Linked DNA regions of Caenorhabditis elegans. The protein of the gene in region 1 purifies or fractionates together with the protein of each later gene. This does not show direct contact. Each region holds a gene or a part of one and is shown in the gene's direction. Other genes may lie near its edges.

The links.
Region 2: the proteins of dpy-4 (region 1) and gfi-3 purify together in Caenorhabditis elegans (affinity purification with mass spectrometry, with the first as the bait; one large-scale study listed by BioGRID). This does not show direct contact.

What each region holds. Positions count from the first base shown.
Region 1 is NC_003282.8:14,984,852-14,988,566, reverse strand, and holds dpy-4 (Nematode cuticle collagen N-terminal domain-containing protein), read left to right. Parts: upstream 1-1,782; 5' UTR 1,783-1,814; coding exon 1,815-1,895; intron 1,896-1,984; exon of another isoform or gene 1,985-2,006; intron 2,007-2,075; coding exon 2,076-2,812; intron 2,813-2,870; coding exon 2,871-2,922; 3' UTR 2,923-3,024; downstream 3,025-3,715. Other genes in the region: atln-2 (GB1/RHD3-type G domain-containing protein), read right to left, coding at 3,032-3,127.
Region 2 is NC_003284.9:14,478,706-14,485,223, forward strand, and holds gfi-3 (Protein gfi-3), read left to right. Parts: upstream 1-1,866; 5' UTR 1,867-1,868; coding exon 1,869-1,979; intron 1,980-2,029; coding exon 2,030-2,130; intron 2,131-2,180; coding exon 2,181-2,303; intron 2,304-2,492; coding exon 2,493-2,682; intron 2,683-2,731; coding exon 2,732-2,823; intron 2,824-2,865; coding exon 2,866-2,962; intron 2,963-3,306; coding exon 3,307-3,485; intron 3,486-3,544; coding exon 3,545-3,661; intron 3,662-3,706; coding exon 3,707-3,849; intron 3,850-3,912; coding exon 3,913-3,976; intron 3,977-4,030; coding exon 4,031-4,162; intron 4,163-4,208; coding exon 4,209-4,319; intron 4,320-4,365; coding exon 4,366-4,480; intron 4,481-4,571; coding exon 4,572-4,816; intron 4,817-4,867; coding exon 4,868-5,108; intron 5,109-5,425; coding exon 5,426-5,767; 3' UTR 5,768-5,997; downstream 5,998-6,518. Other genes in the region: M163.11 (ShKT domain-containing protein), read left to right, coding at 673-746, 806-1,192, 1,237-1,404, 1,455-1,551. UniProt on the Caenorhabditis elegans protein: Probable component of the anaphase promoting complex/cyclosome (APC/C), a cell cycle-regulated E3 ubiquitin ligase that controls progression through mitosis and the G1 phase of the cell cycle.

The sequences.
Region 1 (3,715 bases):
AATTTATTGAATTTTTTTCCCCGGAAAATACTCCAAAAGTACATAGCAATGCAACTATAAAATTCGGTGTAGGCGAAGTTGTTTTTGGAGTCTGAAAATTATTATTTCACAATTTATTTTTCTCAAATTTTCAAGTTTCCATTCTTGGGGCACTACTGATTTACAACGAGTTTGTTAATATAAATGACAAAAAAGTGAAAAAAGCTCTTTTTTTTGTTTCAGAAAACCTCAAAATGAAATATTCTCTTATACAAAATGAAATATTCTCTTAAAAATCTCTTTAATTAATAATAATATTGATACAATACTTTATTTTTCTTCAACTGCTCTAATGAGATTAGCGAAACAGTTGATTTTTAGTTGATTAATTTTTTTCAATTTTTTTTTGTGTTCATCATATTTATAAATAATTGCAAACTAATAGTTGTAGAGAGGGAATACTTACCACTTTTCCTGTTCTAATTTAGATTGCTGTCGATAAATTTTCGTTTTTTTTCGTTGTTTTTCATAATAAATTTAAGTTTTTTAAGGCTCCACAAATGTTTTTAAATATTATTGGGCAAAAAACTCGCAACGTTTTTATTTAAACTCTTTTTAATTAATGATAACAATGAAATAGTAACTTTTAATTATATTTTGAAAATTTGAAACTTTTCGACACCAAAATTAATTTCCCAGTTAAGACGACACAATTAATGATAATAACGAAACAGTTGATTCTTTAGTTGATAATTTTTAAAATTTTTTTTCTGTTTCGCCAGTCCTTCATAAATATTTATAATTTTTTTCAACAATTTAATTATCCAATTTTTGCGGAGTTTGAGAATTACTAATTTTTTCGTGAATTACCGTTCTAATCGAGGCTGCTGTCGATACATTTTCGTTTTCAGTATTTTTCAATGTTAATCAAAATTGTGTTCGAAAATTCCTCTGCAAACTATTAATTTACTACATTGTTATAAATTTGAAAAACAAATACCTACATTGGAATATTGTTATTTATACTCCCCTTAATTGATGAAAATTAAGAAACAGTAAATTTTTTTATAGTATTTTAAAATTCTAAAAATTTCAGTGAGTTTGTTTGAAGTTAACAGTACTTTTGTATTACATGCTGTCATTTTTGAATTAAATTGAATGCTCATTCAATTCTCCATTTAATTTAAACGTGATGTACAATTTTTTGCACCAGGCTTAGAAATTATCATTTCCTAATCCTATGCTACACGTTTTTATTTTTTATTTGATTTTTTTAACTTAAAACATTACTTTTAAAATGAGATTAATACATCCAGTAAACTAATTTGTCAGCTAAGACGACACAATTAATGATTATAATGAAACAGTGTATTTTTCAAACAATTTGGTAAGTTTTGAAAACGAATATTTTTTTAAATTCTATCCAATAAATGATAGTAATGAAACAGTACATTTTTTAAAACATTACTTAAATTTTTTTTAAACGCTTTCTACATAAATACCCTAAATAACCAAAACATTCCCATTAATAGGTAAATCATGAACACATTCATCTTTTTTCTCTCCTCAGTGTTAGCGATACAAAAATGATTGTTTCACGGAGATAAGAAACTTTTGCGGGGGAAGAGGAGGGCAACGCCTGGGCGCAAATACCTGTTCCGTTCTCCTCCACCCTGAACTTTCTAAGGCATACCCCCCCTGCATAGGAGAAATAGTGTCCGATTAATAGAGATATGGGCGCTGGGACTGGCTAAGCAGCCGGCTCACCGCACTCGCTATAAAATGGCGAAATGCGTCGAAATCATCGGTCTGTTCACAGCTTCCAAAGCCTAATAATGGACATCGATTCGAAGATTAAGGCTTACCGCTTCGTCGGATATGCCGCCGTCTGCTTCTCAGCAATGGCTGTTCTTTCGGTAAGAAAAGTTTTTATTTTTTAATTTTTTTTTCTAAAAAAATTACTGTTTCAAAATAAACCTAAATTCCTAGTTGATTATTTTTGATATTCTGCGATTGTTAGTTTTGCAAAAAAGAATACCAATATAGTGCCGGCTGCTAGTTTTTCAATTTTTTTTGTTGAAATTTTACTATTTCAGGTCTGCATCACCCTCCCAATGGTGTACAACTATGTGCAACACGTGCGCACCCAGATGCACCAGGAGCTCTACGCCTGCAAGGGATCCGCCAAGGACGTGTGGAACTCTGTCTACTCCATCCGCGAGCTCCCATTGAGCGCCAACCGTACCGCCCGTTCTACCTACAACGAGCAATGCGCCGGCTGCTGCTTGCCAGGACCACAAGGACCACAGGGAACCCCAGGAAAGCCTGGAAAGCCAGGAAAGCCAGGAGCTCCAGGACAACCAGGAACTCCAGGACGTCCACCACAGCAACCATGTGAGCCAACCACCCCACCACCATGCCAGCCATGCCCACAAGGACCACCCGGACCACCAGGACAGCCAGGAATTCCAGGAGACAACGGACCACCAGGAGAGCAAGGACCAAAGGGACCAGACGCCGCACCAGGAGAGCCAGGACCAAAGGGACCGATTGGACCACCAGGACCACCAGGACAAGCCGGAGCCCCAGGAGAGCCAGGATCACCAGCCAAGTCTGAGCCAGCCGTTCCAGGACCACCAGGACCACCAGGACAGGCCGGACAACAAGGACCACCAGGACCACCAGGATCCAACGGAATCGATGGAGCTCCAGGAGCACCAGGAGCCAAGGGAGAACCAGGAACTCCAGGAGAGCCAGGAAAGGATGGAGAGCCAGGAAAGCCAGGAACTCCAGGACAAGACGGAACTCCAGGAGAGAAGGGAATCTGTCCAAAGTATGTTGAAACTGAATTCAAGTATTTGAATAGTCGCCTAACTTTTTTACTTTTTCAGGTACTGCGCTTTGGACGGAGGAATCTTCTTCGAGGACGGAACCCGCCGTTAAGTCTTCAAGCCCTCTACCAACTATTTATTTTCGATTTATTTCGAACAAAGTATCATTCCAAAAATTTTCTTGTTACTACCACACATCATACAAAACAGACAAAACTCACTTTTTTATTAGCACACGCAGAATGTCCTAATACAGAGTTCAAGGCGCTCTCGTTTAATCGAAACTTTCCGGGTTGGGTGCTCGATGGTGCGATGATCTGGAAAATTGAATTTTAAAATTTATAGAAACATTAAAGCAGACTTTAAATAGTTTTAAGCGACCGACATCTGCCGGCTTCCCCCTTGCCCACTTCCCATTAGTGGAGTGAAACCCGGCAGATGTCGGACGCTTCGGAAACATTTACAGGTTTATAATTGGCTTTTGAGAAGAAAAATAACGGCCGACATCTTACGGGCTACTCTCACGTTAACAGAAGAACCCACCAGATGTCGGAAGCTCTCTGATTTTCAATTCTCAATTGACAAGGAATTTTTTTCTCTTCAAACGAGTGAATCACTTTCATAGAAAGAAGCACCGAGTATTTACTTAAATTTGGAAACAGTGAAAAAATTGTGATCGAAAATCATGTTTTTCAAATTTCTTAATAAACCGACTTTCCGACTTTCCGACTCCGACAACCGACTTTTCCCGGTAAAATCTTTCTTCGTTTCATATTGTTGCATTTAGTTTTTCAACTTCTACAATGTAAGATCAATTTAAACTCATATATATCAAGCTGGTCAAACAGTAAAAACTTTTTTTTTTCAACTTTCGAATTAAATTCTTAACTTTTAATTTAAAACTT
Region 2 (6,518 bases), on another chromosome or scaffold:
AAGTGAAACAGAATCCATATTAAGCATAAATTTTGCCGCAGATTTACAAAATTGGGTTGTTTCTCATATCGACGATATGATTAATATTGCTGGGTTAAGAAAGTTAAGTTTAAAGGTTTAAATTATCAGGCGAGATGTTTGAACAGAATATCCGAATTCTACAAAAGGATAAGCCCAATGCGGGGCTCGAACCCGCGACAACCAGATTAAGAGTCTGGTGCTCTACCGACTGAGCTAACCGGGCCGCGAAATTTGAAGATGATTGAAAAAAATAAATAGTGAAAAATGATATCGTTATCAAGAAAACGTAGCATGTGGCGTTTGACCTTCATCATTTGCAGACGCAGGTTTGCTGGTGTAATATCAATGGGAAAATGAAATAGTTTTCACCGATTAAAATTTTAACTGTAATAATAATTATTATTGGCTGATTTCATTAAAACATAGTTCAGAAATAAAAATTCATTTGTCTTTTTAAGATCAGCAACTTTATGATTCATATGATCGAGCGCAACTTGTTATAGACCTATGTATTCATTAATAGTTCCTCCTCTAGGTGCCAATGCTTATTAGGGGTCAAAACGTTGTGACAGTTGTTCAAACAGGAAACAGATCGGATAAAAGTTAGCCAGTGAGGGCCCACAGAACATTCAACTTTCAACTCTCACTACCATGAACACCTTCTTCGTTTTAACAATTGTTTTCTTTGTTTCAAGCGCTGAAATGTGCTCCGACTCGGCTTCAAAGTAAGTTACAGATTATTTATTCAGTTTGAAATTTGAAATTTCATTTTTTTTTCTTCCAGCTGCGCGAACTGGGTTGCCAATGGGTTTTGCACCTCTACATTCTACACTACCGCTCAGAAAACCCAATACTGCGCATCAACCTGCTCTTTGTGCTCTGATTCTTCAGATTCTAGCTCTTCATCGTCCACTGCTTCTACAAGTTCTTCTTCGTCCACAGCTGCAACGTCCAGTGATGATTCTTCTTCATCTTCTTCATCATCTTCCAGCTCCGCGTCTTCAACATCTTCTTCAGACACAACAACAGCTGACAGTTCTTCTACTACATCCTCTGATTCTTCAACAACCTCTTCCAATTCTTCATCATCCACTTCATCCTCAGATTCCACATCTGTCGTATCTTCTACATCTTCCTCAACCACTACCACATGTGTAGATTCTTTTTCCACGTAAGACTTGATTATTTGCCACTTGCAAAATAAAAACCTTCTAGATGTACTTCCTGGGCTGCTAATGGATTTTGCACTTCTTCCTTCTACACTACTGCTATCAAAACTCAGTACTGTGCAGCTACCTGCTCTCTGTGCTCTTCTTCCAGTGACTCTTCTTCGTCGAGCTCTACCGCTTCTACATCATCTAGTTGCACAGATTCAGCTTCATCGTAAGATCAATCAATTCTACTGACTAGCCTAAAACAAGTTGAACTTTCAGATGCTCATCTTGGGCGGCCAACGGCTTCTGCACTAACAGCTTCTACACAGATGCTCAACGTGAACTCTACTGTGCTAAAACTTGCGGATTATGCTAATTTCATCGTTCCTCTTTTATTGTAGTTTGTCTCTAGTAAACTGAATGCATATCAAAACCATGTCTTCATAATATCTGTTGTGTGTTGTTTGAGAACGGGCCATACCGATGAGAGAGTGCACAAAATAAGAGAGTTTTCTCTGCTACATGGTGTGTCCTCCCGCCCGCCCCTCCTCCACGAGAAACACGCCAGCAAACCAATAATGCGCCTGCAGCCACCGACCTGCACCGATCCCTCTTCATTTTTTTGAATTTTAGTCGTCTATTTTCTAGTATTACCTTTAAAAAACAAGGTTTTTATATATTTTTTTTCCAGAAATGCAGAAAGCGGCGCCGCGGCCCATCATCAAACGGAGTTATCTCAACTTGGATGCAATTTTCGGCCATGTCTTCTCAAATTTGACAGGAGAGCCAGTGACTCCAACAAAAGTAAGTTTTTTAGTTTAGAAAACCTTCAAAGTACTAAAAATTTACTTAAGATTGCAACGTTCTACCTTCTTCGCATTCTTTTTCAAACACACTTTGGATTCCGTCACAAACGTGCTTACTACAAACCATTTAGCCCCGCCGAAAAAGAACGGTAAGTAGTTTGGAAAAATTTTAAAAAAAGAAACCAAATTCATGTTTTAGAATCTTCCATTGGCTGTATGCATTGATGACGTCAGTCGTGGAGCTTTCTTATAAGGACTTCAGAATTGTCACTCGACTTGCATTTGATGACGGCCGTGAAGTTTGTAAAAACTTTTATGCAGCGTAAGTCAAACGATTTTCATTTTATACAATTAAAAAAACATTATAATTTATTGTAAACTATTATAAAAACTAGTCAAACAATTCGACAATAAATTAAATGCAATAATGTTTCTTAGCTCGATTTTCTGGAGCATTATAAGCATAATCAATAATACAAAACAATCCGCTGGCATCTCTCCATTCTTTCAGTATGGAGAAAATTGGCGCCGGAATGGCGGATGTTACTCTTAACGTTGAAGATGAGTTCTACACCAACAAGCACCCAAAGGATCCGAAATTGCCAGCAAATGACACTGTACATGAAGCTATGGACTTGGCGCGCGGAGACATTATCCAGTTTTCTTCCAATCACTCGTTTATGTACAGATGGATGAAACGAGTATGATTTTTCAATCGAAAAAATTTGTTTCAGTTTGATTATATTTCAGCTCCTGGCACAATACACCAAGTCAACTCCTTCAGAAGTGTTCCAGATAAATGCAGCCATGAAATCATGGGTTTTGTCTGCTGTTGAATCAAAGTAAGTGACGAAGCTTTGCTAAAAATACCGAAACTTTTGCAGATATCATCCCGAGTTCAAGGGAGAGTATCTTCCACACTTCATCGACTGTTCTGTCAGAGCAAGGGATTGGGTTGCTAAGAGCATTTACTTCATTCAGGTGAGATACTATTTGAAACTAAAACTCCCATGCGGTCGCCGAGCCAGCCTCACGTCGTCACCCTCGCCGCATGTACAGTGAAGCGCAGACCTCCGAACGTGTCGGCCGCTTCCAGCCCACCACCTTTTCACACTACGTTGCGCACACACCATGCTACTCATTTCACGCTGAGCTGCGGAACCCCGAACGTGTCGGCCGCTTTGAATGACTACCTCTCGAACTTCATTTCACACACACAGCGGCGCGCGGCGACGGCGTGAGGCCCGGATTTTGCGCCTCACTCAGCTGGGAGCTCTGTTTGAAACTGACAAAAGAAAAGTAATAATGTTTCCATGTTTTTACAGAAGAACCCACGTTTTGCCTTCCAATATAACGAGATGCTTCACTACACCCGGATCGTACAGAAGCGACACCCGGACGTTGTTGAAGGGTTCCTGCTAGAGGCCATTGTGCAAGTTCAATTGAAAGATAGCTCGTCGGCTATTAAGGCAATGAAATCGTTTTTCGAGTTGTCCATGTTTGAGTAAGTGTTATACCGTTATACCGCCACCGAGGTTTAAGAACAAAAAAAATAATTTTCAGACTAAATGAGAACATGGTGCATGCCGCAAAAACGCATCGATTGGCAGTTCCAACTCAAACCCCGTTGATGTATGCACCGATTCTTCAAGCCAGAATTTGCAGAATATTTGGAGACTAGTAAGATATATCAATAAAGAGTACATAAATATTCTCATTTTCCAGCCAAATGGCTCGTCTCCTGCTCCACGAGAGTCTCCAACAAGCCCAGCTCCGAAATGATGAGATTTGCCATCAAATGGCCAACATCGAAATGCACACTGTCGACATATTGGGATGCAGGGCGCTGCTTGAGGATAACAATGAAAGTGAGCTCGTCTATTATTTTTTGAATCAATAAGAACTAAGACAACAACAAATCAAATTTGCAGAAACCGCTAAGCACATTGAAAATGAACGGCGAGTTCAGAGAAAAGCCTTGCTGCACATAGACGAGTAAGTTGGATTATCTACTAGTATAGAGTCATAAAACTAATTAGTACATTTCAGTCTTCACGGACATACGCGATCCGGGCCTTGCTGTCTAAGTTCTGAAGAAGATTTTGAGCTTGTCGCAGAGATGGACTCATATGGAAAAATGCTCATGTTGATGAAGATCATTGCAGAAGGAAACTATAAGCTGTGAGCATTCAATCAGAGACGTCGCTTTAACTTTCCAAATTTACAGGATCTACGACAGAGTTGCGGAAACCGGAATAACGTGTCCAGTCGGTAATGATCTTGGAGAACGAGGACGAAAAGTGGCTGCTTATGGAGCTGCTCTGATATCTAGTAACATGTAAGTAGCTCGTTGCAAATGGCCTAGAAACCATTCTGAATTTCAGGATTCATAATGGAATGTATCATCAAGCAAAGTGCGCCGCAGAAAACATGCTGGCAAACAATTGCAGAACCGATGAAACAGACCCCTTCCAGGCTCCTTTTCAGGCCGAACCTTGGGTAAGTACAAGTTAGAACTGTGACAAATAATAAATTGGTGCAAAATTTATATGTATCTAATGAAATTCAAGTATGATGTATCAATTTTCAGGCAATTGGTGCGGTAAACCTATCTTATTCACAAGCTGGAGTCGGAAACTACGACGCGGCACTAAGAACTATTGAGGAAATGCGACAAAATTATCCGGAAGAACTTTCTTGGCAGTCCAACCGTCACGTTGTCATTTGTGCAGCTGTCATCAACTTTGAAAGATTCTTATTGAAAAATGACTACAAGGCTTGTGCTTCTGAAGTTTTGAATCTCGCAGCACACTCTGAACTAGAATGCAAGCTTCGGTGAGTTGCAATTGAAAGTATTACCTCATTTAATTTCTATAATTTTTTTAGACAAGCTCTTCTCCTCGCCGCAGCCGGAAAAGAACGGGCAAGTGTTGAAGTGTTGGAGGGATTGAACGTTGTGGACATTCGTGGAAGAATTCGAATTCACATGCAAACAGGATGCATTTACACGGCTAGTCAAGAATTTAGAAAAGCTGCAAGAGAATTTGCAGACGCCTTGAGTCTTGCTGAGAACACCACACTGAAGGACATTGTGCCAATGGTCAAGAGAAGACAAGCAACTATGCTGGTAAGCATTTTATGTAAAGAAAAAATTGCATGAATTTTTTTACGCCATCTTGATATTTCACTGAAGAATCTACAAAGTGGAGCACTGTCGTTAGGGTTTTGAATCCGTAAATTTTGCGCTGCACTCCGAAAATTATTTTTTATTCAGCCTTAAAAATTGTTTGAAGTGAGATGTTTGAAAACATAAGGTATTGTATTTTTTATAGATGTCACCAGATATGTCAGACTATACTCGCTTACTAGTTAGATAAAATAAACGTTTTCTGAGAACATCGCATTTATCAAATGAAAAACAATTTTTAGAATCTAAATTTACAGATGTGCCATGGTCAGTATGTCGAATGTCTGAAACTTTTGAAAGAATGCAATGAAGGCATTGAACAGTTTGGATCATTTACCGAGAAGGCGTGCTACTACATGACAGCGGCCAGATGTCATCGATTGCTAGGGAAAGATCCGCGGATGTGGTTGAAAAAATCCCGTGCCCTGGTCCGCAACGGGCAATGGCCGGCGTTTACCAAGCTCGTCCTCTCCGAAATTGCTGCTCTTCATGACGTCAAAGGACTGATGCCTGATGAAAATCGTCTGTCGCAGATTTGTGAGCAATTTGGTAAACTGACTGCTGATTGTCCCGGCCGATGCGAATGGCTCCTCATCTGATGATGTTTCAAACCAATATTCTTGTACACACTTTTAAAGTGCTTCATTATCCAATCCCAAAGACCCCCGTCTGTTCTTACATTCAACGATCTTGTTTCAAAACTCAAACAGGTTTATGAGCTTCACAGTGTATTTTTACGAGTCTTTCTTGCTCTATTTGATTTTGAATTTATGAACTTTTTGTAAAAAAATTGCTTTTGAAAAATTGGAAAAAAAATTGAAAAGGAATGTTTTATTGCAATTTTTTTGATTTTATTTTATTGCAGATACCATTTGTGCAGTTTGAATGCTTCTTACCAAATGTCAGAAAACATATTTCTGGTAGCTAAAATACATTTACAACTGTAGCAAAAACGTGTTGTGCAAGTTTTTTAATAGCAATGAGATGTCTATTTTTTTTTAAATTAAATTGAATCATTATCGAAAGTGATTAATTATAGGAAATTACGAAGAATAGAAAGGATTACTTTGTTATTGGATGTTTTACATGTTCTCATGTAAATTTATTGCTAGCCAAACTTATTTGTTGTTTTAAAGCGTGACCTCATTGAATCAAACGTTTTTTTAAAGATTAGTAAAAAAATTAAAAATTAACCGGCTACTGAAAACCCCACCCCCGCAAAATTCCTATTTTGGGTGAAAATTCCGTATTTGCAGTGAAACAATGCCAACTGAAAGCATCACTCCAGTTACTCATGACAACTCAAATAGGATATGTGTACATAATGATTAATTTTGCTAACTTTCCATA